Linked DNA regions of Rhinolophus ferrumequinum. The protein of the gene in region 3 binds, or shares a complex with, the protein of the main gene of each other region. Links are inferred from orthologs where the notes say so. Each region holds a gene or a part of one and is shown on either strand. Other genes may lie near its edges.

Evidence for each region.
Region 1: RUVBL1 (region 3) and ING3 share a complex: the UniProt entries of both Homo sapiens proteins name them as parts of the SWR1-like complex. The link is inferred for Rhinolophus ferrumequinum from reciprocal best matches to the Homo sapiens genes RUVBL1 and ING3.
Region 2: RUVBL1 (region 3) and ANP32E share a complex: the UniProt entries of both Homo sapiens proteins name them as parts of the SWR1-like complex. The link is inferred for Rhinolophus ferrumequinum from reciprocal best matches to the Homo sapiens genes RUVBL1 and ANP32E.
Region 4: RUVBL1 (region 3) and ASDURF share a complex: the UniProt entries of both Homo sapiens proteins name them as parts of the PAQosome complex. The link is inferred for Rhinolophus ferrumequinum from reciprocal best matches to the Homo sapiens genes RUVBL1 and ASDURF.

The regions. Positions count from the first base shown.
Region 1 is NC_046309.1:22,924,850-22,931,992, reverse strand, and holds the start of ING3 (inhibitor of growth protein 3), read left to right. Parts: upstream 1-4,142; 5' UTR 4,143-4,280; coding exon 4,281-4,308; intron 4,309-4,550; coding exon 4,551-4,622; intron 4,623-7,143. UniProt on the Homo sapiens protein: Component of the NuA4 histone acetyltransferase (HAT) complex which is involved in transcriptional activation of select genes principally by acetylation of nucleosomal histones H4 and H2A.
Region 2 is NC_046305.1:50,609,264-50,616,401, reverse strand, and holds the start of ANP32E (acidic leucine-rich nuclear phosphoprotein 32 family member E), read left to right. Parts: upstream 1-4,128; 5' UTR 4,129-4,493; coding exon 4,494-4,547; intron 4,548-6,277; exon of another isoform or gene 6,278-6,421; intron 6,422-7,138. UniProt on the Homo sapiens protein: Histone chaperone that specifically mediates the genome-wide removal of histone H2A.Z/H2AZ1 from the nucleosome: removes H2A.Z/H2AZ1 from its normal sites of deposition, especially from enhancer and insulator regions.
Region 3 is NC_046302.1:1,213,523-1,221,107, reverse strand, and holds the start of RUVBL1 (ruvB-like 1), read right to left. Parts: upstream 3,019-7,585; 5' UTR 2,923-3,018; coding exon 2,719-2,922; intron 1-2,718. UniProt on the Homo sapiens protein: Possesses single-stranded DNA-stimulated ATPase and ATP-dependent DNA helicase (3' to 5') activity; hexamerization is thought to be critical for ATP hydrolysis and adjacent subunits in the ring-like structure contribute to the ATPase activity.
Region 4 is NC_046291.1:39,096,443-39,103,768, forward strand, and holds the start of ASDURF (ASNSD1 upstream open reading frame protein), read right to left. Parts: upstream 3,003-7,326; 5' UTR 2,861-3,002; coding exon 2,765-2,860; intron 1,022-2,764; coding exon 968-1,021; intron 1-967.

The DNA.
Region 1 (7,143 bases), on a different chromosome or scaffold from region 3:
CCAAGACTCAACAGTAAAGGCCTATAAACACTCTGGTTCTTTTAGCTCCAACGTGGAGTTTACTGTTTATTTCTGGCACCTGGGATATTTTTCTCTTGGTTTCAAGCTTTTTTCTTATATGTCTTCCAGAATTTCCATTTATTTTGAAGGAAAGATTTTGTGATGGCTTCATATCCAGTTATCCATCCTTTCTCAATATGCCACCCACTAAACCCTATATAACAACCGCCTCTGTAAAATCTCCTTAACTCTCCACCCCTTAGTCACTTGTCTTCTTTCCCTTTGTCCTCTTCTCCATATTCTTTGTCACAAACACCCAGGAGCCAGGTCTGCAAAGTACAGCCTTCCTTAGAGACGTCTCTTTAGTGGGTATGAGGAGTAGAAAAGCCTGGAACATTCATAGATATGTAAAGTGAAGGCTGTTATCCTGCTGCTTATAACTGATCCAGTGAGTGACTCAATGGACTTTTAAAATGTAAAATTAGAGCGGTTCATGTAAAGACCGCATTTTTTCTTTCTTCCCATGTTTTAGAGGTCTGTCAGAGAGGATACACTGCCTGGCACAAAGTTAAGAACATATTTCATTTCAAAGTTTTACGAGAATATTCAAAGTTTTGAATATTTTCAATAGGAAAGTGGCAGAACCTTAAGACGTAAAGCCAAGGTTTCCCCTGAGGAGATGCTATATGAAGGATTTCAATTTTCCTTTCTCTTGGACTCTTAGTAACACTCATATTTTGCATCCACGTTTTGCATCTGTTCCCTACATTCTGATTCCTCCTCCTTAGCCAGTAGCCCTCAGTGCAGTACTCTTACGGAGCCTCCCTGGATCATTTCTCCGTTGAATGGAGTATGACAGTGGCGATACAACTGTTGTACGTGAGATAATCTTCAGTGGGTCTAGGAGGAGTCCAGCCTCAGAATGACCAGGGGCACAAGGCAAAGCTCAGAGCAGCACGAAGGAGCATTTGAATATGGGTAACTGAGGAGGGGACTTCATGGCATTAATGAGGATGGTACTAGAAGCTGACATTTATTGTGTCGTGACACTCACCATACTTGAACCTAAGTGCTCTGCATAGATGATATCATTTCAATCTAACACACCTATGATTTAGCTACTATTGCTATTTCCAGCTTACAGATCAGGAAATGGAGGCCAAGAGTGTGAAAATAACTTTCTGGAGGTGATACAACTAATGTTAGAGAAGGTGACAGAGAAAGGGGAAAAAATCCAAGGAAGAAAACCTAGAGCTGCTCTGGTAGATCTCAGCACAGCAGCCTGTGGACCACACGATGTATTGTGCTGCAATGAATGCAGTTCTGCCACAGCGCCGTCAGTCTCCACGTCTCCACATTCCAGTTTCAGATCAAAAGAGAGTGCATCTAGTATGCCCAGCTTTGATCTGTCCCTGTTAAATTAATGCATTATGATCAGGGAGCACAGTAATGTAACAGATATGGTCACTCCTGTATATGAGGGGCCTGGCCCAGAAAGGCAGTAGTGGGTGTTAAGTAAGTAGACACTCCAAGTGCTATCTACTATCTGACCTAATGATGTAAGAAGCTATCACACGTGTGTACATACACAATTTTCTGCAGCTGATACAGGGTCCAAGAATAAGAATTACATTAACTAAAATATGTAGTGTTTAGTTTTGTTATTTGTTTAGTTTCTCTACAGTGTGTATGCATGTTCACTGAATTGGGAACCATCTATTATCTCATTTTCCTTAGTATGAAAAACTCCCTGAAGCAGCTCAGTTTACACTGAAAGGATGGACTTCCATTTCTTTTATTTCTGACAGAATTGCATGTTAGCTACTCTGATTGAGCCACCTGCTGAAAACAAAAAATGCTGGGTTAAAAAAAAATCAAATACATTGATGAACTGATAGGAAATGAAGGAATGCTCAGAGGGGGAAAATCAAAAAAGAAGGAATAAAAATGAGAAGAAAATCCTGAGAAATGAGGGAGGGTCAATGTGACTTTTGCCACGAGATTATCAGTCAAATTCTGGGCACCTTGAATTCCTGCTTTAATAGCTGTGCAGATGCCAGGGTCAGGAAATAAAGCCAAGGACCCATGAAAAAGGAGGAGTCTAATAAGAGACAAAACTCTGGGGCCCAAAGGATTACATTCCCAGTGTAAGAGTGATTGAGAAAGAAACCTGATGGTCAGTAAGGAAACACGCCCATCTTGACCTTGGAACTTGGGAAAGGAAGAAGTCTCCCGAGAATCTATAAAATCTGTTCAGATTTGAGACCCAAATTCAATCTATTTGTGCAATCCAATAAACCGGAAGTGGAGAACTTCATCTGGTTCTAGGGTTTATGGTGTCTCCAGGCAACTTGCTGAAGCAAATTTTAATACTCTTTAGGAAAACTCCCTTTTTACTCGGGCCTCAATGAATCCCCATAGTTACCAGCCCAGAAACATGCATGCAGAGTCCAAAATCACAACCTGCACCGAAACAGGCACCATAAGCAAAAGCTTGAAGAAACAGCAGGCAGCACAAAAGACCCATAAAATTCTCAGCATTGAATTTCACAGACACAGAATATAGATTATGCTTAATTTGTATAAGAAATTAGAAAATGACTCAGAAAGAGAACCAAAAAGAACTTCTAAAAATGAAGTGTTTGAAGACTTCCAGGTGGACCATATAGAAAAAAGTTTAAGAGAAACAGAGGCTCTCTATCTTAGAGGTATCCTATAGATACAACGGTTGAGAATTTTCTACAATTGTTGCAGGACACTAATACTGAGATTCAGGAATCTTCTCAAATACTCAGTATGGTTTTAAAAAAAAAAGGAAAGAAAAAGAGAGGGGGAGGGAGGGCTGGAGGAAAGGAGGGAGAGAAGGAGGAAGGAAGGAATCATATCTGTATTGATCATTGTGAAACTGCGACAATATCAGAGATCTTAAAAGCAGCCAGAAGGAAGGAGAGGGAGGGTGGGAGGAAAACTTAAGGCACTGATTTTAGATAAAAGTATAGAAACTAAATGATGTCATCGTTATTAGGGTTAAGTTTTCTCTGGGGTTCATTAATATGACAGGTAAGTATCCTGATTAAGAGCGGTGAAAAAGTCTTGAGAACAAGAAAATGTAAAGGCGGGGTGAAGCAGGTAACACAAATGCAGTGTTTCAACTCCAATGAAAAATATAAATAGAACATTAAATTATGAACTAAAGACAAGTATCCCCGAAACCCGAAGAGAGTTAAGTGGAAAATAACACCCAACCTGTACTGAGTGTCAACGTAGTTAAGACAGAGAAAAACTAAGCAGTGAAGGACTATGTCACGGGTGAACATTCGCGGGGAGGAGTCAAAAGGTAGAAAAAGACAACGCACAGGACTACAGACGTCTAACAAAGGCTATTTACTCAACATAATCTAAAGTTATTGCTAGCACAGCCCATTCACTATTAAGGCTCTATCCGTTATTTCTGCTTGCTCGGTATTTGTTGTTTTGCGGGTGCAGGTTGTACGTATAGATTCATTCCATTAGCGTGACGAGACGGACCGCAACATAGAATATGAGGCTATTGAGGACTATTTTTGCATATTTTAATATGGGAAATACATATTCACTCCATGCTTAAAATAAATTGTTACGTGGAAGCCAACCAGGCGTCCCACTTGTATTTTTAGGATTGGATAGTGAGGATAAATTCTAGCAGCGAGTTCTGTTTGAAACAGTACAAATTGCCCGAACTTTGCTGAATATTCTAGCGCTAGAACCTTTGCTATTTTGCTAGCACTACTTGAAATCCAGACTCAAATGCCGGGGCATGGAATCACAGCAGTAAAGAACAGGTGAAAAGTTGTTCCTAGTTGTGTTACGCAGGCGCATACAACTCCCGTCATGCCCCGTGCAAAAATCAACAAATAAACAGAGGCACCGCATTTCAGATTCCGTTACGCACCGTTCGCTGTGGCGTCTGGTTTTTGTAGTTTCCATGTGAAGAACTGACAGCGTGTTCACTTTTGCTAGGGAGGGAATAGAACTACAGTTCCCACAACAGCGCGGGGGCGGGCTACGGTAGGCTGACGTCATTGCTTCAGCCAACCAATGACAGCTCCGGGCGGCAGTGAGGCAAGCGCCGTCAGGCGCCAAAGTGGTTTTTTTCTCTTTTCTTTTTTTTTTTTTCCCTGCCGAAGCCGAGCGGGCGCTGCTAGCGGAGGCGCCATATTGGAAGGGACAAAACTCCGGCGACAGCGAGTGACACAAATAAACCCCTGGACCCCCTCGTTCCCCCAGCTCTAAAGGCCGCGATGTTGTACCTAGAGGACTATCTGGAAAGTGAGTGGGCGGCGCTGGCGGGGGCCGTCTGTGGGACCTGCGGGCGGGCGAGAGCGCGAGTGGACGGGCGGGATGGCGGGAGGGAGGGGGAGGCGGGGGATGTTTCTTTCTCACGGTAACTGGCAGCCTCGCTGTGGGCTGCCGGCTCCCTCGACCCCCCCCGACGCACGCACGCACGCAGTGACGTAGGCGCGTACTTTCGCCGTTGGCCTCGCCCCTCTGACGGATTCTCCCTTTGGCAGTGATTGAGCAGCTTCCAATGGACCTGCGGGACCGCTTCACTGAGATGCGCGAGATGGACCTGCAGGTGCAGAGTAAGTCGGCGCGTTTACCCTGGTTTGCTGCGCGCGTCAGTGTCAGACTGACTTGCCTTCGACTGCAGCCCCTCAGCTGTTGACTCTCCTGCAGCTCACTGGCTGGGAGTACATAGGAGTTGTCAAAAGGAACTTGCAGTTTGGAATCTTGCCGCCTCTTGCCTCCCAGGCTACTTTTCTCCTGGCTTTTACAAGGGGGAGACATGAGAGCACGTGTGTTCTTTTCTCGAATTTGGGAACGGGCCATACACGTTCCGATACCTTCATGGAGAATGTAGATACATGTTTTAATGCACAGCAGCATAAATGTTGAAATTCTGGCTTTGAACCTTTATGTAGAGAACATAGATTTTAGCATTTGCACTTTTACAGTTCATTCTGTTGAAACATTTTCAAGAGCAGAAAACATCGAAACACTGGTTACATGCCTTTTTTTAGACCCTGGAGTGTCAAATTTGAAGAGTTCGGATACATTGTAGGATACACTCTCTGTTGTCAACAGTATGATATTTTTGTCATTCAAAATGAGTGCAGGAAATAGGATTTTACTGTAAAGCTTCCTGTCTGCTGTAATAAAAATTCTGGCTTTTCTTCTGTCAGTGATAGCTTGACTTTTTCCCAGAACTCACTTGACTTTTTGTAGAGCAGTATTTGGTTTATATGATCATTTTCTTCTGTGAAGTTTCTGAAAAGGGTTTATGATTCAGAGAATGTATGGAATCAGAGCATTTGGAGACAAGAAGGTAAATACTTAGAGTAAACTTATACTTAAAACAAGGAAACACTGAGGAGTACCAGATTTGTGTTCATGTTTTGAAAAAAACCTCACTCGTAAACCTTCTGCCTTTGTGGTGTGAATATAATTTATTTCAACTACCTTGTACAGATATTTAAAATTAAGAATGTGAAATGAATTTTACATAATTAAAATATATAATCAAGGGTACTTTTTTGGCTGTGTGTCACTCCCTTGAAGAAATGTAGGTATCTTAATTAAATTATTTAAATAATAATAATGACTGGCCTTCGTGGGGTATATCCACAGGAGATATGTTTCTTGATCCCATTTATTCCAGCTATGTTTAAGCTATACATAAAATGTTTCTCATGCTGTCAGGTTTTCTTCTTAGAGAAGCAGGGGTGGAGGAATATCTGGGTTTTGGAGTGTGATAGGGAGGAAAGGAGTATCATGAAAAGAGATCAGAGAACCAAACATTCCAGAATGTGGGAGTCTTGACCTAGCTAAGAGCTTGTTGTTTTCTCCCCCTTGCTTCACTGCCTTCCCCACACACATCCATACCTTTGTATGTGAATATACTTTCCCAGATTCTTGTCAGTTTCATGTAGCACATAATACAATGTAATATAATATTGAGAGCCACCTTCTTTTATTCAGTGGATCGCAGTGTGGGAGTCTGAATTGGGTGTTTCTCCAGCTTGCTCTCCAAGTTCATTTTAACTTGAAGGTAGTTGAAATGCTAAAGATTTGCTAAAGTAGTAGTGTTATCTACAGGTTTGAGCACAGATTGTTAATGTCAGTCAGATCTGAGTGCATTTCAGGGCTCTACTGACTTACAGACCTTACATCACCACTTCTGAGGGGTTTTCATCATCTGTAAAATGAGAATCATCTGAGGATTAAAAATAATACAGATAAATTAGTACCTGGTACAAAATAGGCATTCAATAAAGGGTTACTTTTTTTATCCCTTTTCATTATTACAAATTTTAAATTTTCTTGCGTTTTGGACTTAGATTATGTAAATTAGAGGTTTTTTAAACTTGTATTTTTTTAATAGTAATTAGAATTTTCTAAATTTAATAGGTATTATGTATTAACAAAAGATCTCTGTGTCAAGTAAGTTAGGAATGCTTATTTAAACAAAGGAAAATACTTTTAAAATATTAACCATAAGACTTCTCAGAATCTTTAAAGACCTATTACTAACTGAAAATCTCCAAGAGAAGGATATAACAGAAAGCTTTTCCTCAATTTATGTAACAACAGAATTCATTTTATTTTTCCTTTTTTAGCATACATGGAATGAGATGACTATTCTTGGCACACATTTAAGGAAAATCTATATAGAATAAATAATATAGTGTATTAAGTAAATAAATGATTGTAGCTACTACTTTCAACATGATATGAGATTATGGAGGTGTTTAAGGCCATATAGCAAGAGGTTAAAAATCTTTTTATCACTTTTTCTTATTAAAAGAAATGTGCCAATTGTCTAGCGGTGCTTTCAGTAAGAAATTGTGTTTGGCACATTTGGCTGATTTAATACCATTAGTTTTTGACCCTGAGGTTGTACTATTCAGAATCTACTTTGACTATTGGAAAAAGTTTTGAAATAACAACAAAAATAAATGTTCTATAGGGAAAATTGTAACTATTTTTTTATGAAGGTAATTAAGGCATTGTATATTTGCATAATTAAAGCATGACATATTTAAGTTAGTGACCAAGTGAAAGAGTGTATGTTATCAGATAATTGTTTCTTTCGCCAAGTCAAAG
Region 2 (7,138 bases), on a different chromosome or scaffold from region 3:
AGGAGATGGCACAGATATCTGGCTACTTTCTACCATTTTGTGAGTATTTCTGGACTTGTCTCAGGCTGATCAGTTTCTTTAGAGAGGAAGCCTCTAACCTTTTACCTGAAGGCACACCCCACTTTAAGATGCATGGAGGAGACAATGGGGTTGGTTTGGGAGAGTTCTCATTGGTTGAAATACAGATTTTCAACTTTTCTGCCAGTTTTCATTACATCTAGCCTGGTACATGTAGGAATGATTTCTGGTGGTTCCAAATCATTTTGAATTCTGGAGAAAGTGTGTTGGCATTAGTTGCACTGCCATAGATTTGTCTTGAGACTGCAAATTAACTAGTTTGGAAAAGGGAAAGGTTAAAAAGTTAGGAGAAAGAACAGTCTGGAGTTATCCTTCACTCTCACTCCATCACCTGTTCCCCAAAAAGGCATCAACCAACCTCTATATTTCCTAATGGAAGTGTGGAATTAAACTGCCAACTGAGCGTTATTTGGTACATAATCAATTACTAAACATGAGTACCCACTGTGTGCTCAGCACTGTGCCAAGTACTGAGAGAAAACCAAGCTACGGACTTGGTTTCTCTCTAGGAAATTTCAGTGAGTTTGGGCGAACCAGAATTAAATGACATGTAGAAGATGTGGCTAGGCAGCTCAGGGCAAACGCTGGGTGAATAGAACATTTAATAAGTCTTACGAATTTGGAGAAGGTTAAATGGTTTTGGTTAAGGTAGAAGAACAGCATAAGCAACGCTAGAAAGAGCAGAATGCCTATGACTTGTATGGAACAAAATGGCTCTGGTGAGACTTGATCAGAAAAATTGTTCTAGGGACTTGTTCCAGTTACTATTGCTGCATAACAAACAACTCCAAATTTAGAGGCTCAAAACAGTAATGATCATTTTATTACCTCTCATGGTTTCTGTGAACAGAAATTTGGAAAGAGCTCAGCTGGGTGGTTCTGGCTCAGGATTTCTTATGTGGTTGCAATTAGACAGTGGCTGGAGCTGGAAAAGTAGGGGGAGGAGAAGCTGGGGGCTGGGTGGGTACCTCTCATTCTCTTCACAGAGGCTTCTCCCTGTGATCTCTCCTATACGTTAGTTTGGGCTTCCTCAGGGGGTAGATCTTTGGAGAGGGCCATTGTCTCATGTTGGGTTCCTCAGGAAGTAGACTCTGAGATGAAAATAGCATTCAGAACATTTATTGGGGGGATGATATTGGATTCAATATCTGTGGAAGAGAGGAGAAGAAAGCTGGATGAAGCAGTGGGAGAAAGTGAATGGCAATGCAGGCCCCTGGGGGTGCTCTGGAGCGCTGATGAATGACCCCTCAGAGTTAGTCTAAGTTGGGGCAAAGGGCTGGCCGGGCCTGTATATCTCTGTGTTGAAGGAGGTCTAACCCTGGGCAAGGCACTTTTCTTCAGCTGAGGTAACCCCCTACAAGGGCCGACAGCGGAAGGTCATCCCGGCACTGAGGGGAATCAGTTCTTCATTCCTGAAGGAAAATCTGGGTCGTGCATTTCCGTGTCCACCACAGCCCTGACTAGATCGGTGGCTTTCAGTAGAGGCCCTCCTGTAACAACCTGCCACTGAGAAAGTTGGGGGGTGAATACTCCAACCTCACTCCCCTTCAACCCCCCCCCCCCACCCGTCTCCTGCCAGCCCTCTCCCCCGCCCCCAAACCCAGCAAGTCATAGGACTCGGTGGGGTTTTGAGTCACAGAGTGAAGAGTGGATCTGGCGGGCAACAGAAGATATTCTGCAGCAGAAGATGAGTTTAGTTTTTGAAACTTAAAGACACATCGAGTTAAAGAATATCCTGGTGAACGCTTCTTATTGGTGGATCAAAGGCATGTTCTGAACCACCCTCTTACTCATTCCACTCCTTGCTCCTTTGCTTTCATACCACCTCCTGATTACTGAACCTCACTCTTGGTTCTAACATTTAAACCCTGCCTCATTACTTCCTTTTAAAACACGTTCTAGTTCATGAGTTCGGATTTTCTCCTGACTGCATTTCATTCTTTCATCCCTCATTTAGTTCCATATGTCCATGTACTAGCCTGGTAACGTTCTTCATCCAACCTCTTCTCAGTCCTATGGGGAATCTCTCCTCCCCCAGCATCTTGTTTATCCTGTCTTCTTGATTAAGATTGGAAACAGGTAAGTTCCAAGGTCTTGAGGTAATGCAGATGAGAGATGATATAAAGGCGGGGACACTAGGTACGGGGAGAAAGGCCCACTTTGGTAGACCTTTGTCTGTGCTTACTATGGTGTACTTTCGGAAGCTGCTAGCCAACGGTAAAACGAATTCATGGCCTTTCCTCACATTTAGTATTTCCAGCACCCTCTCCATTCTGTCTAATGTATTCCGATACAGAAGCCCTACCATTTAACCCCAATAATCACCTCTTGTTGAAACTCTGTCTTCCATACATTTTTCTCCCCAAATTCACCTCCTTATTTATTACCTGTTTCTTTGACTATTTTGGTAGACAATCCCTGTCTTCTCTTTTTCCCCTCAACCATGTTTTACTCTCTTTTGCCTGATAGTCTTATATACATGCTTTGTGGGCGTCTTATTTTTTTTCTCATGGCCTCAACTATCACTCGTATCTGGATGACTCCTAAGTCTGTATGTACTCCTTCCCAGAACTCTCTTTGGGATGCCATTCCAGAGTTCCAGACTCTGCAGTGGCGGTGGGATCAGAACACAGGACTTCTTCTCAAGCTGGTACTAAAATGGGCTTTCAGGTTTCTTTTTAGCCCTTTTTTTCCTTCCCTTGTTTTTCAACTCTTCCTTGAAATGTTCCTTAATCCATTTTGCTTTAGTTTTTATATCATCCTCACTTCCTTTAGCTTGATTAAAACTAACAAACTTAACTAACTCCAAATCGCCCCCTAGAGATGTTATTTCATTCCAAAAGCTTTCCCTCTCCCTGTTTTCCTCTTCACAAAATTTCCTTTCCAGGGAATTCAAAGGAAACAGCAAGGAGAAGGCAATGATTATTTTGTTTTCCTTTAAAGTAGTTAACATGCTAAATACTAAATATTTATATTTTAAGCATAATCCTATTTGAGGAGCTGTGTGTCTCTGTAGGGGGGCAGGAGGCGTGGTGGTGGAGTGGTTAGGAGTCTGTTGGTAAAACCTAAGGTCTCCAACCTGAGAAACTGGAAAAATAGCAAATACTCAGCTCTGAGAGGGGTTAGACTAATTCACCCACTTCCTTCCCCACATTATATGGACTGTCTTTGGGTATTTATCCTGATAATGGTGTAAGAGAATAAAAAGGACAGAATTTAATCAAGAGCTAAGAAAAGTTAGGCTCTCAAGACAAAAATTTTAAAAATGATTCTTACCCTGCTCTTTTCTATCCCACATTGACAGACTTTTAAAAGCACATTTTATCTGTAGACTTTCATGGAAACCAACCAAAGGGAAATTGGAGAGGTACTGCAGTACTATTTATATGCGAATCGATGTCTCATTTTCATTAGACCGGTACTGTTTTTCCTCCAAGGTCTTATTGTTCATTACAGCAACAACTACCTCAGTAACAATTTGTTTAAAGGTGCCTAACTTATACTTCACACAACTGCTTTCAGTCCTTCGTGGGTGGAAGTTAAAATACCGTCTTTATTTCGGCTTTGGTTTTGGACCAGAAGCCTGTCCCCAGCAGGGCAGTGTCACGAAGGCATGCTTTTTATATGACGTGCACGTTGCTGTGCACCTTGGCGGCAAAGCAGGAGCTGTGCGTGCTGAGTTACCAGTATCGCAACTTGGGCACGTAAGAAGTATGCTTTCTGCCTGTAACACTAAAAACAGAAAAACAAAACCAAACCCAAAAACAAATCAAACAGGCATCAAAACCGCCCTCGTGCCTAGGGAAAGCGCGCCAACCACACAAAGAAAAGGAGGGGGGCTACTGGGATTCAAAATCATTTCTTCCGGACGAACACCCTCCTGGACCTATCGGAGTTAACTGCGCGCTTGGTCGTAGCCAATAGACACAGCGTTTCTGGTTCAGGTCCGCCCTCAAGACTGATAGACATTTGTGTAGTCCAATGGAATAGTGTGATGCTGAAGAAGTAACCAATACATTCGGGAGGTGGGTGGAGTGTAGGCCAGGGGGTTGGCGGTGCCGTGTCATGGAGGCTCAGTCTCGGAGCAGCCATTGAAGGGGAAGGAACTGCGGGTGTGTGTGTGTGAGTGTGTGTGAGAGTGAGTGTGTGTGTGTGTGTGTGAGTGCGCGCGCGCGTGTGAGTGCGCGCACGAGTGTGTGGACAAGGAGGTGGGGGCAGCCGAGTTAGAGTCCCAACTCCTTGGACTCCATTTGCTATTCTCTTTCTCCCCCACACCTATCTGGTGGTGGTGGGCGTTTATATTTGCGTTTCTTTTCATTCATTTCCAAACCTTTTACAATTTGAGGGTTGGGGGTAGCAGGAAAGGCAGGGCAGGGTAAGGGAGGAGAGTAATAGCAGAAGAGCAGGAGGAGGACATGGAGATGAAGAAGAGGATTAACCTGGAGTTAAGGAACAGAGCCCCGGAGGAGGTGAGATGACTCAGCCCCCTCCCCTTCCCCTCCAGCTCTGTATTCGGGGAATCGGGTTTCGGGGGGTCCGGGTGGGTGTGTAGGGAGGGGTAATTTATCAACCCCAACGTGGGGTTAGGGTCGGGGGGAAATATTTAATTTGAAGTTTTAAATCATTAAAATCTTTTACTTAAAATGGCGAAGGGTTCAAGTTTCTAGGGGCGTTTTTGTGTGTGCATGGGGGCTTAGTCCCTTTCACCTCTCTTGGAGTCGGGCGTCTTGGCCTCGTGGGGGCGGGAAGCAGGGTGCTGGGGGGCCCTCCGCTCCCCAAGTTCCTCCTCCTGGGGGCGGGAGGCGTGGGCGCGACCCCCCAGTCCCACTCGCCCCTGCCGCAGCCATCGTTGCCTGAGAAGTTAGTCCAACTTTTCTTCAGTGCTGCTAACAACTTTTTTTTTTGGGGGGGCCGCCCCCGGCCTCAAGGCCCCTGGGCGTCGGGCGCGGGCTGGGGTCGCTCAGGGAGCCGGCGACCACCCGCTGCCGGCGGCGCCCACTCCCCCGGGAAGGGCGCGCGCCGACCGCCGCCAGGCGGAATCTGGGTCAGCGGCCGGCTGTCCGGCCGCGGGTAAGTTTTGGGACCCGTCGCAGTAATCGGAGGTGGGGAGGGGACTCGAGGCGTCATCCCCTTCGTCCCCCCGCGAGGTAACGAAATTCGGCGGGTCGTATCATGTCGTGGTGGCCGCAACTCCGAATTTGATCCCTGGAAACGGTTTCACAGAACTCAACAAATGGGTCGTGGTAGTTGTGTGCTTTAAAGATGGGTTCGGCGAAACTAAATGATGCGCGCTCGCTGCTGTCGCTTTAGTTAAAGAGACGGGGTTGGGAGGGGCCACGTGAGGCGGGGTCGCGGTCGACTTTTCGGGGGTCGGGCGGGAGGCGTTTCCGCCTCCTTTCTGAGGGCGCCTCCTCTGCTTCACCCAGCCCTTCCCGTCCCGGGCGGAGGCGCCTGGGGAACGGCGGCTGGAGGGCGACCCCTATTTTCCTTGGGGAGTCCCCGCCCCGTGTGGGGTTTCCCGTCGGTCAGAGCGGCAGGTCGCCAGAGTGGGGCCGGTGACCAGCGAGGAACCTCACACTTCTAATCGCAGAGGCGAGCGCCTAGAGTCTTGCTAATTGCGGCCTCTGAGTTAAACCCCAGAATTGGCATATCAGGGATATAATTGTTTTCGACTTGGGTGGAGGCGGTGCCTGTGCATAGCAGCATAGAGGATGAGAAGTAGGGTCTGCCCAGTGAGCCGAGTGGGAACCCAAGATCTTTATGTGCTTAAAAAAAAGTTTCCCAGAAATTGGCAGGAGCAGGCAGGAGGAAACAGTCGCTATCATACCAGAGAAAGCTTGAAGTTTTCTAGGCCCTACCCTTTAGGGGCTTCAGAAAGAACAAAACTGAAAAGGCTGTCTCTCAGAAGCACACATTTAGAATGCTTTTTTATGTCTTCGTTTGGAAAAGTGGATTCCCCCTGCCCCATTCTTTTACCCACCCCATCGTGGTATCTTCCTTGCCAGTTTTGGGGAGTGCCACGCGTTGCTTTTTTGCAGCCTCTCCTTCCTCCCCTGTGGTGTAATAACGGTCTCTTGTATTTGCATAGCTCTTTACAGTTTACAAAGAGCACTTTCCGTGTTTGTTATTCACTTTCCTCCTTGAGACAAACATGTAAGGTGGATTGTATTGTTCTAGAATCCAAATTAATGGAGTCTCAGGGCCTGCAGTTATTTACTCAAGTGGAAGAACTGGTTTTCTGACACCAAATCTAGTGGCCCTCTCGCCTTCACTCAGCTAGACCAGGAGTCAGAAGACTTAAAAGAGTGGAGGCCCAGCTCTGCCACATACTGTGTGACACCAGGCAAGTCATTCTCATCCTCTGGGCCTCGGCTTCCTCATCTCCAAACAGATCATGATGCCATCTGTGCTCATTGAAGTCATTATGTCAGTCATTTTCAAACAGAGAAGGTGGCATTCCTTGTTGCTAATTTTTAGCCCTGAAAATACTTCAAACATAGTTTTGCATTGGGAATGGAGAGTCAGGGTCTCCTGCCCCTCTCTCCCTTGCTTAAGTCCATTTAGGCCCACACCAGAAAGTTTTGTTTTACAACTCTGACCTAATAGAGAGGATCCAGCCCCTCCCCACCAAGAATGGGGTGAAGTCCACAAAAATGCTACCAGGATGGCAGGGAGAAACAATAACATTTTGTCAAGGATGTATTGTTCTGGGTGAACTGTTTGGCCTGATACTAGAAGAGTTAACATCTGAAAGCTGGGCTGTCTCAGAAGGAGCTTCTAACATTTCTTCACGAAGGGTAACAAGAAAATTTTGAGTTATGGGGGCATTTATCAACCAAAGATAAGGGGGTTTAAACTAAAACAGTTTCCTTTCTTCTCCCTACTGTTTCAGGAAAGCTCCCTTGCATCCTTTTCCAGGAGCCCAGGTACTAAATAGGCCCTGATGTTGAGAATCCTTCTCATCAGGGGCACATGGGACCTTTTTCAAAGTTGTATTTTTTATGCATCAGTGATTTGAAGCAGGCATTAAGCTTCTTAGTCCAAGTTTAAATTTAAAAGG
Region 3 (7,585 bases):
TATGTCCGAGGGACAGAAAGGCTACAATGACCAAAGTATAACAAACAAGAATGGGAAGATGAGGTTAAAAAGGCAAGCAGGGGCCAGAACTCAGAACAGAATTTTAGAGAGTCCACAGTAATATTTGGATTTTATTCTACATGTAATGGGAAGCCACTGAAAAGGTCTTAGGCTATGTATCATGTTATGATGATTTGTTTTTAAAAGATCTTGATGGCTGCTGTGTGGAGGAACAGACAGTAGGAGTACAAATGAGAGTAGTGACTTTTAGCCTGGGGACCAGAGATAGTCTCCAGGAGCCCACAAACTTTCTGAAATTGGAAATGAAATTGGAAATAAAAGTGTGCGTATATGTTCATCTGTACATTTTTCCAGGGAGAAGATTTACAGCTTTCATCAGATTTCCAAATTAACCTATTAAGGGCTAAGAATCAATGACATATACTACTAGTTTGCCATCAGTTAACCATCCCAAGATGCTACAAAATAAATGCTGTATGAGGTTAAACCTGTGGCACCTTAAGATTCACTAAACGCCTTCCAAATCCTCAAGATCAAATTCCTTGCCTTAAGGGAGGCCACAGCTCTTCTCTCTGGGCAGTGACAACACTACCCTATTAACAGAGTCTTGGGAATCTATCTTATCTCCTCTACCACTATTCCCCATGTGTTGTAGAGAAGTACCTTGATCCCACACTTATGACAGCCCCTAAGAAACTGTGGGTTCAAGGAATGCGTGTAGATGTGCTATATTCCATTTCTGGCTCAGCTGGAAAAGCACAGTGCCCTTAACAGAGCCTAGAAGCTAGTCTTCGGATGCTGCATTTCTAAAAAGATAACAGAGCCACTATGGTTTTTTCCATAGAACCTGTCATATCATAATCCTCAGCATTGAAAGTCTTTGGGAAATTCAAAAGAGATAGAAGAGACTTTCCAAACCTTGGATGTGTACTCTTATTCACACACTAGGACCTCTTCCATTTAACCTTCGTCAGTTTAGGCTCCAACTTTTCTCTAGTGAGGTATGTTCAGTGAGTACTAAAATTTAAAAAAGTGGAAGGGCCTTTAAAAGATCACCTAGTCAAACTCTCTCATTTTTCAGATGAGGATATCAAACACCAACAAGACTGCTGATGTGACCAGAGTCATACAAGGACCTGGTAGCTGAAGTGGAATGCCTATTAATTCAATAAATAAATACCGAGCCCCTATAAAGAGTCAAGTTCTGGATATTTAATAATATTAATAATATATTTATGCTCAGGAAGCTCATAGTTGTACAGAGGCATACAGCATCAGAGTTAAGAGCATGGATTCTGGACTTGGGTTTAAATCATGGCTCTACCACTACCAGCGGAGTGACCTTGGACCTACCTACTTAACATCTGTGAACTACAATTTCCTTATCTGAAATGGTTCATGATAGTGGCATACATGCTAAAGGGTTTAAGGGTAAAATGTACTATAGTCTGCAACTTATTTTGAAATGCAAAAGTGGACTGGTGGATGGATAAATGAATATATATATATGATAAAGCAACAGAGTAAAATGTTAACTGTAGAATTTAGGCACACAGGTATTCAATATACAAGTCTTACAACTTTTTGTGTGTGTCCTAAAGTCAGGGAGAAACAATTATTAGGGTGGTGAAAACAAGACAATGGAGATAAAGCTGCTTAGTACAGTGCTTAGCCCATAGAAAGCACTCAACCAATGTCAGCTATTTGCTGTAACAGGTCCTCAGTAAGCAGAAGCTACATAAAGAGAAATTTGAAAGCCACCTTGACCATACCAATATTTCCTTTTTGGAAAGACGATGCTCAAAATGGAAGCCAGAGACCTTTCTTTGGTCCTCTGTATTAGTACAATTAGGGGAGGAGGAAACAGTCTCAATTAAGGTTTCTGTAGCTGCTAAGTGGGGAGGCCAAGAGGCATGGATCTGAGAGCACAGCAAGCTGAGAGAGCACTAATTTGTGTACACGTGGGTACAAATACACGAGGGTACAAATCCTACCGTTATCATTACTAAACTGAGTGGCAAGAGTATAGGTGAAGTGACCTCTCCCACCCTCAATTTTTTAATCTGAAAAAAAAAAAGCTTGAATAGTTTTGTGATTATAATGTAATACTTTTGGACTTAGCATAGTTGCCACTTAATAAAAGTAGATTGAATTGGAATGGTCAATAGGATGCTGAGCATGAGTGAAGCAGGCTGCTCCTCTCTGTAACTCCCACTTCCCTCCTTCAGGTCCCAGGCCCTGGGAATCAAAGTGAGCTTTTTCAGGTTGATCACTCCCGTACTTTAAAACCCCCACAGCCTCCCACTGCGTTCATAAAAATCCAAATTCCTTCCCACGGTCAGCAAAGCCCCGCAGGAAGTGGTCTCCAATAAAATATAATAATTACTGGCTTAAACGTTTGTCGTCTCTCACCACACTAAAATGTAAGCTCCATGAGAGCAGGAACCTCATCTATCTTGTTCCCCGCTGGATCCCAGCGTCGCAAACAGAGCATGGCACGGAGTGGAGGACTCCCTCAAGACTTGCCAAAGATGAAGCAAGCAGTCAACCGCCCCCGTGGGGCCGTCACCTGCTCTTCTGGAACGGCTCCACTCCCAGTCCATGAGGCGCCCCCTCGCCGCCCCCACAGCCAATTTTCACTGCTCCGAAGAAACGTCAGCGGTACACCCTAGCGCACACCCAGGTCTGAGCCCCCACCTCAGCGGCCCCTCGCGGCGGCGGCGTGCTCAACGCCCCGATCCCCTGGCCCGCCCGCCACACCTCTCGCGCGTTCTCCTGGCCCACGAGCCCCGATGCCGCTTGCTTGGCCAGGCCGCTCTCGTCCAGCCCCAGCCCCTTCACGTGGCTGTGGGAGGCGATGCGCTGCGTCTTCGTGGTGCTCTTCACCTCCTCAATCTTCATCCTGCAGACGTCCGGAATCAAGACCTGAGTGGAAAACCAGGAGACAGTTGCCCAAACCCGGGGCCCAGGTTACCATGCGGCAGTTACTAGAGCGGTTTGTCAGGGCCCGCCTTGGTCGGCGATCCATTGGCGAAGGCGGAAACGCCTCTGCTCTCCATTGGCTCATGACTATGCCCATCGCGGCGGCCGTGGGGGCTCTCCCCACCCACTTCCGGCTGTGTTGCCGGATTAGCATCCCCCGCAGCCCAAGCTTCCTGCTCTGGCCCGGGGGCGGTAACACAGAGAGGATAAGCTCGAAGTTTCGTCTGGGGCTGGGACTCTGCACTGAGGTGTGAGTCTTAACCGTGCCATCCTGTGCATTTCGCATTGGACCGTCATATCCTTCAGAGAAGTTCAAGCTCTTACCTCCGTTTTGGAGATGGTGAAACAGGTTTACAGCGAAAGCTTTGACTTTTGCTTACTGAGTTTTCAGGCTCCCACGCCTTTGCGTCTCCCGGGGAAGGCCCACCCCAGCCAACCACTCCCACCCATGTGCTGCTGGGTATCCTCCATGGAACTGGCCTCTGCTTCTCCTGGCTTCCACCCTCTCCCTTTATTTAAATTAAGTTGGCTGCAAATAACATTTTATGTTTCCAAAACTCTACGACCCAGTAAGGTAGTATAATTCCTAATATAGATAAAGACAGGCTAAAACAGGCCCAATAACCTTGCACAAGAACGCACAGCAAGTAATTAACAGAATTGGAACTCCAGCTGAGGATTTAAGGCTTCACAGCCTGTATAATCTTCATCCCATCCCACAACCTCAGATGAGACAATCAGCCAGCAAATATATCCTGTCAGGCTCCATAATGATATTAACACTCCCTGTACCACAGTGTACTCTCCCATCCATCCATTCATTCAGCAAATATTTGTTAGCACCTGCTTTGAGCCAGACACTGCAATGTACTAGGAATACAGAGATAAAATACAAAATCTCCAGCCTTGATAAGCTTAGTCCTTAGTTAGGAAATTTGCAACATTAGATGTGCAGGAACATGTACACCCCACCTGGTGTGCAAGCCCAGAGCAAGGCCACCTAGAACAGCCTCGAATGCCAGGGAAGGCGTCATGAGGTGATAATGCCTGGGCCAAACCCTGATGAATGGATAAGTCTTCTTCAGAAGCAGGTGGCATGTCACCTTTTTACAAATGAGTAAACTGGGGTCCAGAGAAAGGGAAAGACTTGCCCAGAACATAGGACAGCTTACATTAGGGTTGAGACAGACCTGAAGTCAAATCCAGCTGCAGTAGTTCCTGACTCACATCCCTTTGTACTTCTCCATTATAACTTTTGAATCTGGGTTTCTAATTAGTTTGCAAGAGTATTAGGTCAATGTTTGTCTCTCCCACTAAACTACAAACATTATGAGAGTGTAGACCACATTTGTGTTGTTCATCATTTTAACCCCAGTGCCTGGTACACAGCCTGGCTCACAAGTAAGCCTTCTTATGAATTCAAATAAGATTCTAGACTCCCCACATACACACTTGAAATCATGCAGTTTGCTGCATGTATTTTACAAACTGGGTTTTCTGGGACTTGGTAATGGTTTCTATCAGTAAATGGAATGTTGTGGCATTTTCAGAGCCCAAAAGAGTAGAAGCAAGGCCTTGGAGAGCTGAGGTTGTTACTGATGACCTGCGATACATCAACCCTAGGGATATCACCTCTAGGACACCCAGAAGGTTGCTTAGCATCTCATTAATTTATTCCTGGTTATGACCCTTGGTTAAGAGCAATTCCTTTCACACTGTGAAAGGGGAAGACTTTCTTCCAACTAGTAGTCAAAATGAGGTACTGTATGGAACTAACTTCTTTGTGTATTGTCCAGTTAGGAGAGAAGACCATTTTTACATTTATTATTTGGCACAGAGTAAAGGGAAAGATTTCCTACCAGCCAAATATGGGGGTAGGAGATAAGGACTTTGGAGTTTAGAGGAATTCCTAGGAGCCCTTGGTCCAGTGGTTTTCAAACCACATTCCCTGGAGTTGTGGTATTCTTTCATGGCCACTATGAGTGGGGAAGGGGAAGTCTGAGAGTGCAGGATACCTGTTCCATGCCCCTACCTCCCCTTCCACCAGAGCTGTTCCATTTTTTTTTTTTTTTTTTACTGCTAATGAATAGTTCAAAAATCACTGATCTGGCTTAGCCTTCTCATTTTACAGGTTAGGCAACAGAGGCCCTCAAAGGGGATGGAAACTGTCCAACTTCACAAATGGAACAATTGCCTGACAGTCCTTGACCCCAGATTTGGTGTGCAAAGAAGCTAGACCTGGTTGCAGAGCCAGACAGTTCCTTTCATTTTGACGGAAGTCTATGTGGTGGGCCAGTGTCCGAGATACACAAGGTGAATGAAGGGCAGTTGAGACCCATAGTAGTAGACATGGGTTATTTTACCTACCCAGAATCCATTCAAATTCTTCTGGCTACCATCACTCTAATTTTCTTTAGAGAACCACCCTTCCCCCACTTTGAGTCCAAATCCTTTGGATGGGTTGCCCCTAACACCCAGCGTTATTTTAGGGATGGACACAGAACTCTGGCCTATCAAAGTATCTCATCTGCCTGGACATGGAGATTGGTTTGGGAATGTGAGTGAACAGTCCAATGACAGTCCTGGCACTTTTACTGGAAAAATCAGGAAAGAAAACTTGGGTCATCGGTTTCCAGGTCATCTTTGTCACTTCATAGGAAGACCGCCTGAGAATGAAGCCAACACATAGGAAAGGAAAGCTGACAGAGATTCCTGATAAATTCCTTTACATTCCCAGATCCAGGCTTGCCCTTCTTACAATGTTGTATGGCACTCACATTGGGGCTTAAAATAATTTGAGTTAGGTTTCTATCTGTGGGTATTGAAAATCCGCATCAATGTGATGATACATATGCAAATAATTGTGTGGACTGCTACATTCCAGAATTGTGCTGTGTGAAAACACCAGAACTGCCAATTCTCTCACTCTTTTCACTCCCATGACCCTTGCTGTGTCAACTCCAATCCCTCCAACCCATCTTTTTTACATTCCAAGTTTGCTCATCTCAGCCACTTGGTTTCCGACCCTTCTGCTCCCTCCTTGCATTGACTTCTTTCACACCTGACCTTTGAACCCACATGCCCAGATCAAGACTACCTCTACCTTCTCCACTGCCTCATGAAGGCTGCTGTGTATGGCGGCAGGCAATTATTCAGTGTCCCCATGGAGCCATTACACTGTCATGGTCTCCAGCTTCAATTGAGCACACAGAGTTGCCCAACTACTGATTAAATGTCATATTAGTTAGGATATTAATTCAGCTACAGTAATGGAGAGATACAAAATAATAGTGAACTAAACAAGATAAAATTTACATTTTTTCACATAAAGTCCAAGCAAGCATTCCACCTGGTGAGTTCTATAATCATTAAGAATCTGTCCTCCTCTTTCTCTTATTCTGCCATTCCCCACACACACCTTCTAGTGCATGGCCCTAGATAACTGCTCAAGCTCCCCCCTAAAGCCTATGTTTGAACCAACAAGAAGGAGAAAAGGGGGAAGGGAGGCTATGCTCCTTCCATTTAACCTTGACCTCAAGTTGCATCATCATTTCTACTCCTATTCCAATGGTCATACTTAATCAAATGGTTACAGATAGCTGAAGAGAGGCTGATAAACATAGTCATTAGCTGAAAAGATACATGTCCCCACTAAAAATTCTATTCCCAGGTAAAAAAAGGAGAGAAGATAGATTGGGAAGCAACTCTTCCTCTCCACCCTAAGTTGCAATCTGCCGGGCATTGCTGGGTTCTTCTTGTGTGCTGACTCAAAGACACACATGACCTTCCTCCTAGTCAAGGTATCTCTACTAACTGGGTTCCAGATAACAATCTGGGCCCCACTACATCTCTCAGAGGCCTTTCTCCACTTATTACCCTCCTTATTCGTATAGTTCCACCTATTCTCCCTGATCATTCCCCACAGGATATAAACATACTCAATCTTTCCCATCTTAAAACACAGATCATATTCAATGATGAAAGACTGAAATTGTTTTCCCTAAGATCAAATACAAGATAAGGATGCCGGCTTTAGCCTCTTCTATTCAACATTCTATTGGAAGTTCTAGCTAGAGCAATTAGTCAAGAAAAAAAATGATCACCCAAATTGGAAAGGAAGAAGTTAAACTACCTCTATTCTCAGATGACATAATCCTATATATAGAAAACCCTAAAGAAAACACACACACACACACACACACACACACACACACACAAACTATTAGGGCTAATAAATTCAGCCAAGTTGCAGAATACAAAATCAACACACAAAAATCAGGATATAAACATAATCTTCCCCATTTTAAAACACACAATGATAGGTTTTGCAGAAATAGACTATCCCATCCTAAAACTCGTAAGAAATTTCAAGGCACCCCAAATAGCCAAACAATCTTGTAAAAGAAAAATAAAATTGGAAGTCTCCTACTTCCTGCTTTCAAAACTTCTTACAAATGTATAGTGATCAAAACAGTGTAGTACTGGCATAAAGATAAACATATAGATCAATGGACTAGAATAGAGAGCCCAAACATAATCCTCACATACATGATCACAAAATATGGTGAATGTTTAAATTTAA
Region 4 (7,326 bases), on a different chromosome or scaffold from region 3:
TAAACAATACAGTGAGAATACTTTTTTCTTATTAATAAGTGGTCTTTTACAACATTACTGTATAACATATTACAGTTTATTTAGTCGATCCTCAAGTTTTAGATATTTAAGGTGTTACCAACTTTTCACTATTAAAAATCAATGTTGTGATGAATGTCTTTATAACTAAATCTCTGTACACTCCCATGATTATTTCCTAAATATCAATTCCTATAAATGGAACAGTGGGGTCAACGTGTTGTATGCCTTTAAGGTTTTGATATAGTCTGCCAATTTGTTCTCTAGAAAGTCTGTATCAATTGTGCTTTAACCTCTAATATTACCTAAGTGACAACATCAGAAATGTTTAACCTGTCAGTTATCAAATCTTTAATATGCTTTAAAGAGCACAAAATCATTTCTTCTGAACTTTAAAATGTAATTTTTGACAGTATAACTACAGATGAAGCAGGAGCTTGCTTGTTTATGGATGCATTAAATAACCACATTAAATATTTGGAAGATTTGTATAAAAAAGATTGAGGGATAGGAGAAGTAATTTATCCTTTTTGTTTTTCAACAATTATCCACTTTCACTTAAAGGAATAGTTCCCTCTCTCCTCAATATATTTAAAGTTCATTTATTTCTAAAGAAAATATCAAATTCAAGTACAAAATAAATATCATTAGTGAATACAGCTCCAAGATACCATAGTAGCATTAGTATCACTTGATTCTAAGGTAGTACGAGTTTTATGATGGGGAAAAATATAATATCAACTATGATTATCTGTATGTTTATAGATATGATTATCAACAGATATCTATATGTGATTTTACATAATCTTGGACACTTTTCACTTTTGAAGTTTAAAAAAATGATGAAGTCTTACAAATCATATATAAAATTCTTACAACTTTGGTATACAGTTAATAAGATAGAATCAAACCCTCCCATATACTATTCAGAATCACTCTAATAACTTACCCTGTGTTTCTTCAGGTTAGAAAGTTCATCCACAACAATTTTTTGTTCTTTAATCTATTGAAATAAAGAAAACTTCTTAAATCAGAGGTTCTTGAAGTATGCTGAATGAGGGCCCATTAAAAAAAAGTAGAGATGGGATAAGGGGCTATAATGTACTGATTGTCCAAATTGGCAATCTGTGAACACAGATTCTTTTCAACAGCAGTCTGTGCGAGGGTACAGGTGTGGAAAGGCTGAGGGACGAAACAGCGATTAAACTTGCCAAGTGTTAGACAACCCACTGAATCCAAACAGAGGGTTTGGTGTTGGTAACCAGCATTCATTCAAGGGCCATGGTTAACAATCAAGGTTTTTATCTTTTACTTGAAACAGACACTAGGCACCAGTTTTTCAATGATTTCTTTTATGTTTTAGCTTATTTCAATAATAAATAGCAAATGGAATGAGGGGTGGGCTACTTCCCCCTCCCCACCAAATACCAACACTTTTCATGATTTGTGTACTATATGGTGCAGCCCAAGCACGTGTACTAAATGCTGTACCTGCAGTAAGACCTATCACTTTCCAACTTTCTTCATTAGTCTTTGTATGCCAAAGACTGGCACAGCGCTGACACTGCTGAAGGAGGCCTCACTTTTTATAAGTAGGAAAGGACTCAACTAAGTGGAAACTGAATTTCTAACTTTTTTCAGTAATGGTGGTTATTTTGTGAACATGACTGATCACATAGTATCACTAGTATCTCTAAAATCAGGTTTTATAATCTGTTCTGCCTCACTCCTCAGGGATCTGTCATATCAGTGTAAGTGGCTTGCTATGGCAGTGAGTGGACTATGTGTGGTTTGAAAATTCACCCACCAGGAGTGTATATCCCTCTGTCTTTCCAGCTAAGTCAGTGCAGTAACTGACTAGACTGAGTTAAATTGGAAGACCATGCACAACCTCCTTGAAACTTAGGTTTGAACATCGCTTTCCCATTCATTTTAGGAACGGCAGGTCATTTTTCTCTTTACTTCAAACAAGGAAACTGTGATACAGAGGGATTAGAGACTTGCCCAAGATGTCAATGTTAGTTTGGGTTTGAAGCAAAGAATCGAGGACATCTGTATCTCAAAGGCTATAACCATCCCCATCTCCAACATATTTTTAAAGGTTTTGTCTTTTAATGCCAGTTAAGATTTATATTATACTGGCTTCGTTCCCCCTTTTTGGAGGGTGGAGGAATGACAATAAGACGTGTGTTTTAGGATCGATTGTTGCTCTGGCTAACGTGGAGAATAGATTGGAAGAAGGTAATGATGGATGATAAAGGGCGTTTGAAAGTCTTTGCTGGGTTTCCGATGGTAAGTAGATGAAGGTGGCTGGTTTAGGATGGTTAAGAGTGTACACGGTGACAAAGGGACTTATGTGAAATGAGCTTCAGAAGCAGAACGAATAGGACGTGATGGACGTCAAGGATGATTCCCAACTTAGTGGCAGTCTTAATGGATGGTGGACAACTGAATGGATGGCGGTGACACTTTCTGAGATGGAGAATATCGGCAGCGGATCTGGGTTGGGCAGTATTTCTAAAAATTTAATCCCAACTAAATCTCCGCCCCACTGCCCCAACTGGGTCTAATTTCGGGGCAAGTTTCAGGATCCCCCTTAACTGTAACTGTCCAGAGCTAAGAATAAAAAGAGCGAAGCCGAGGTGGGCAAAGCCGAGGCCGGGCCATGCTGCAGCGGTGGGCATTCTGAGGCCCAGCGGCACCCCGTCCCGCGCCCGTGGGCCTTCTCGCCTTGTCCCACACTCACCTTGAAGCTAAGCTCCTCTTTGTGAGGGGCCGAGTTGTCGGCTGGGACCAGCCCGGCTCCGTTTTCTGGGCGCGCCTCCCGGAAGGGAATCTCCATCGAGCGCAAAACATGCAGGATGCGCAGCCCGGCTAGCGCCTCAGCAGCCTCCGAGCCCCCCGACTCAGTACGTCCACCATCCCAAGGCTCCACCTCCTCCCTCTCCCCGGTCCCATGAGTCCTACCAATAGCGTCTGCGCGTTCACTGCAACGCCTGCGCAGTCCGGGTCCGGTATGAGCGCAGTTCCGCGCGTGCGCACAGGTGCTGAGGGAAGCGCGTGAGCAGAGCCGGGTTGTGAAATCTGGGAGGTTCCTGAACAGTCCCCTAGTGGATCCGATATAGAAAGACTTTTGTGACCTCTTCACATTCTCGCAACCAGTAGACTGTGAGTTGTATGCGCCCCCTAGTGGTAAATATGAAGAATAGAAACGCAGTAGAAATTCTAGTTAATATTTTTTATGTAGCCGAGGCCCAGATGTGAGATACATTGTTGGCAACGAAACTGTACAGACTTGGTAAAGCTTTTGTTAACGTGTTATTGGGGTTAAAAGGGAAATGCAGGATGCCCAGTTAAATATGAATTTCAGATAAACGAATAACTTTTTAGTATAAGTACGTCCCACACAGTATTTGCAGTATCTCACTTCTATGGGAAAAATTATCCAAAACTTGGGAACAGGCAAGAAATTATTGGATGTTCTTTCAGTGCTTTTGTGGGCTTGACTTTCTATAGACTGGGCAATTTTACAGTTCTGTAGGGGCAGAGGTTAACCTGTAGATTTTTGTCTGGCAGAGATGCAAATAATTTCTATTTGGTGGACCGGATAACCCCACAGGTTATGATTTATTGTTCTGTAAGGCATTAACCAGTTTTGTGTCTAACCCTGCAATCCTACACTAACGCGTCTTTATTAACATAGGCCTATCTTCTCACAGACCCTCTGAATTGGTTTAAATGTCTTACCTGTTCCAACATCAGTTAATGAGTTGAATAAGATTTTGACATATGTTCATTTTATATTTGCATGACAAATATGATTTTATATTTTTGAAAATTATACTTTAACATTGAAAATCTCAAGTTTTCCTGAAGCTGCCCGTGTGGACTCATGATGGAGCCAAACTCTGCTAAGGAAATGTACCTCATAGGTTGTTTAAGCCCAGGATTATCTTTTATTGGCTCTTTGAATAAATTCAGAGTGGTTATAAAACTAAGTTTACTGTTTGTTTTCATTTTTAAGGATTTAAAAAAATTTTGGTTTTCTTTCTGATTTGTGCGTGGCTATTACACATTGGTAGCAGCAGCGATTGGGAATTGGGCTTTATGGCCTAATCATTCAGTGATATCTGTTGGGTGATGGAGATCCAGTCTCTATTGGAAGAGAGATGGCAGAAAATCCAGTTTTTAATCTTTTTGTTTGTCCTTTGCAAGCTCAAATTAATTAAGAATTTTGTGCTCATTGGAAAGACCAGTTTTTTGAGATATGGGCTAGCGAATTTTTATGTTTACTTTCAACCTGAGATAGAGGTTGGAACACTGAAGCTATAAAGTGTCTGTGTCTGTGTCTATGATTTAGAATGGCTTGTATATCTTGCTGTGAGAATGTAAAATGTTTTTGTACTTTTGGAGGGTATTAATAAATTCCATTATAATGTCTCTTAAATTAAAGGGCAGTCTATAGACATAATTATGCACTTGTATAAATCCCAAAATTCAAAAAAAGCCCAGAATTTCTAATACTTTAAATGTGCTAGACTTTTAAGAAAATAAAGTCCTTCTGCTAGCTTAGAAACATTTGAAGCATATGTTTGGAGAAATTAAAGTGAATTTTTGGAGAAATCAGACTGGATTAATAATTTGGGTTTAAGAGAGAAAATGCATTTATCAATGCTAAGTAAAATACAAGTAGATGTTTTATTTTTTATGACATTTAGATTTGTTTTCTCATGAAGAGATTATTTAATCTGAATTTCCTAATTCATACACTGGTTTACTGATTAAATAAGCTAGCATTACTGCTACAGAATATTTAAATTTATGAGAAATGTAAATTGGTATTCACTAAAATGAGTAATTATTCAGACAAACTTTTTATGTCAACAATAATTATATTTCGTACCGTATAAATTTAAACACAATTCCAAATTTTTAGGTAGCTTAAAACCCTGAGAAAATATCAAATGGAGTTAATTAATGATTAATCATTAGATAACTAGATAATTTATTTTAAAAGGTGAATACTGAAACAGTGATTAATATAAGCATAATTTTAAGTTTACATACTTTTGCTTCTTGTTTTTATATGCCATAGAATGGCTATCCTTTTGGATAATGTAAGGGACATGTTCATTTTTGACATTTTCAGAAGGTGTAAAGGGAATGTGTGTGGCTGTAGACAGTTATGTGTATGAATGAACTTTGTTTGCTAAAGTGCTTGCATATGACAGTTACTAATTATCTACCTCCAGTTCTCTCTATGAAACAGAAGTTATTAAATTGGTTAAAAGTTGTAACTAATATGGGTGGTTAAGATCACATTAAAGGCAAGAATAATAGAGAATGCAAGGTAATGGGATGAGTCTTGTTTTGTAAGGAAAAAGAGAGTTCTAAAGTAATTATTTTGTTTCAGAATATGAAAAAGCACAATGAAAGACAAAACTTGAGGAATTATATAGTAGGTTGAAGATGATTTGATGAAAGATGATTTGCATTGGCTTATAATACCTAGCGCCGAAAAGAAACTATGAAATATGTTTAAATTTTGGCACAGTACATTCAGTTTGGAAGCCTTATTCACAAGATAATTTTTTTTAAACTTTACTGCCAAATATTATATTAATTAAAAACTGAAATTTCGTCTTTTCTTAACTCCATTCCCCCAAATCTTTAGGGTTCACCACAGTTAAGCTGGTAGGAACCTAGGAACATGTCTCCCCTGACACCTGGGGTGACATTTTAATTAGTGTTCAGAGTGATGGTGACGTTTGAAGCTGAAGAGACACCAGCATATTGGTCTACTTTGTAGACCAATGTGTGTTATTGTGTGTATTGTATTATTATCCTGGCTAATGTATGATGTATATTACTAGCCTGGCTTCCAAGGTTTAGATGAATATTACCCCTCCTCCTATGGCAGTGTCTGCCTGACTGGGAACTCTAGTTAATGCTTGAATTGACTCTTTGACCCACATGATTTCCATACTGAGTGGCCAGAAACCCTACTGATTGTTCTATAGCTGTTCATGCCCTTTTGGGGGTGGGCTGTTGGTTATGGCTCTGCCTGGTGCTGATATTTCCACTGATTTACATGGGTCACCCAAGATGACATAATACTAAATGCAGTAGTGATATGATAATCTTATTAGTATGGTGCTGAACTGTTTTCAAAGTTCTTTCACATTTTATCTTATTTTTTTGTGTTTCTCCAATTGCTTCTATTTCCCCCCTCAGCTGTTGTAACTCCGGCAGTGCTTGAAGTCACACTTGGTATCATTTGTCTAACTGGTTTAGGACTACCCATCAGCAGCTCACCATGTAACTAGCTCGGCTGTACTTCTTCTTTCATTTAAGTCCATTGCTGTTGTTTATTCTACTTAATAGGATAATTTCATGTTTATTAATGCTATATATACACTTCCTCTGATGCTACATTCTTAATGTATTTCATTTTGTTTAATAATGCATAGTTTACCATTCACCATTTTGTTAAAGTGATGTATATTATTAGCCTGGCTTCCAAGGTTTAGATGAATAGTACCCCAACCACAGTTTTCCCTTGCTTTCTCATAATACGGATTTGTCTCTAGCCACAGATTTGTCTCTAGCCACAAAAGTCTCTTTCCCATCTCTCCCAAAGGAGGTATGGAATAGGGCTGTGGTCCCCAAATGCCAGTTAGTAGGTGGGTGCCCTTCTCACTATGTAAAATCACCTGAAAGTCTTGTTCAAATACAAATAGATTTCTCAGTCCTTTTCCCAGACTTATTAAACCAAATGTTTGTGGATGGAATATGGTTGTCTGCTGTATAACATAGTGCTAACCATTTAACCTTTAACCAAAATGGCTGGGTTTGAATTTTGGCTTCTCCATTTATTAGATGTGTGAGTTTGGTAAGTCATTAACTTCTCAAGCCTCAGTTTCCTGATCTGTAAAATGGGACTAATAATAGTGCCCACCTCAAAGGGTTGTAACGAGGATTAAATGAGTTAATATTTGTAGTGTTTATTATAACAGCTACAAGCACATAGTAAGCACTATTTAAGTATGTGTTAAATGGATGAATCAGGAGTTCCTTCAGATGATTTTGACACACAGGTTTAGGAGCCAGTGGAATGGACAAAACTAGGCTCTGAAATGTTTGGCCCAGTTATCTTTGAAGATATGTCTTCTCTTTTACTTCCACTGATTTTCAATAGGGCTAGCTAGGGCTGTTCCAAGTTGATACTTTCGAAAATAGGTGGAGGCTCATTTGGTTGTTACAATGATTGGCTAGTTCTGCCCATTCTCGTGGGGTAGGACTAACAGG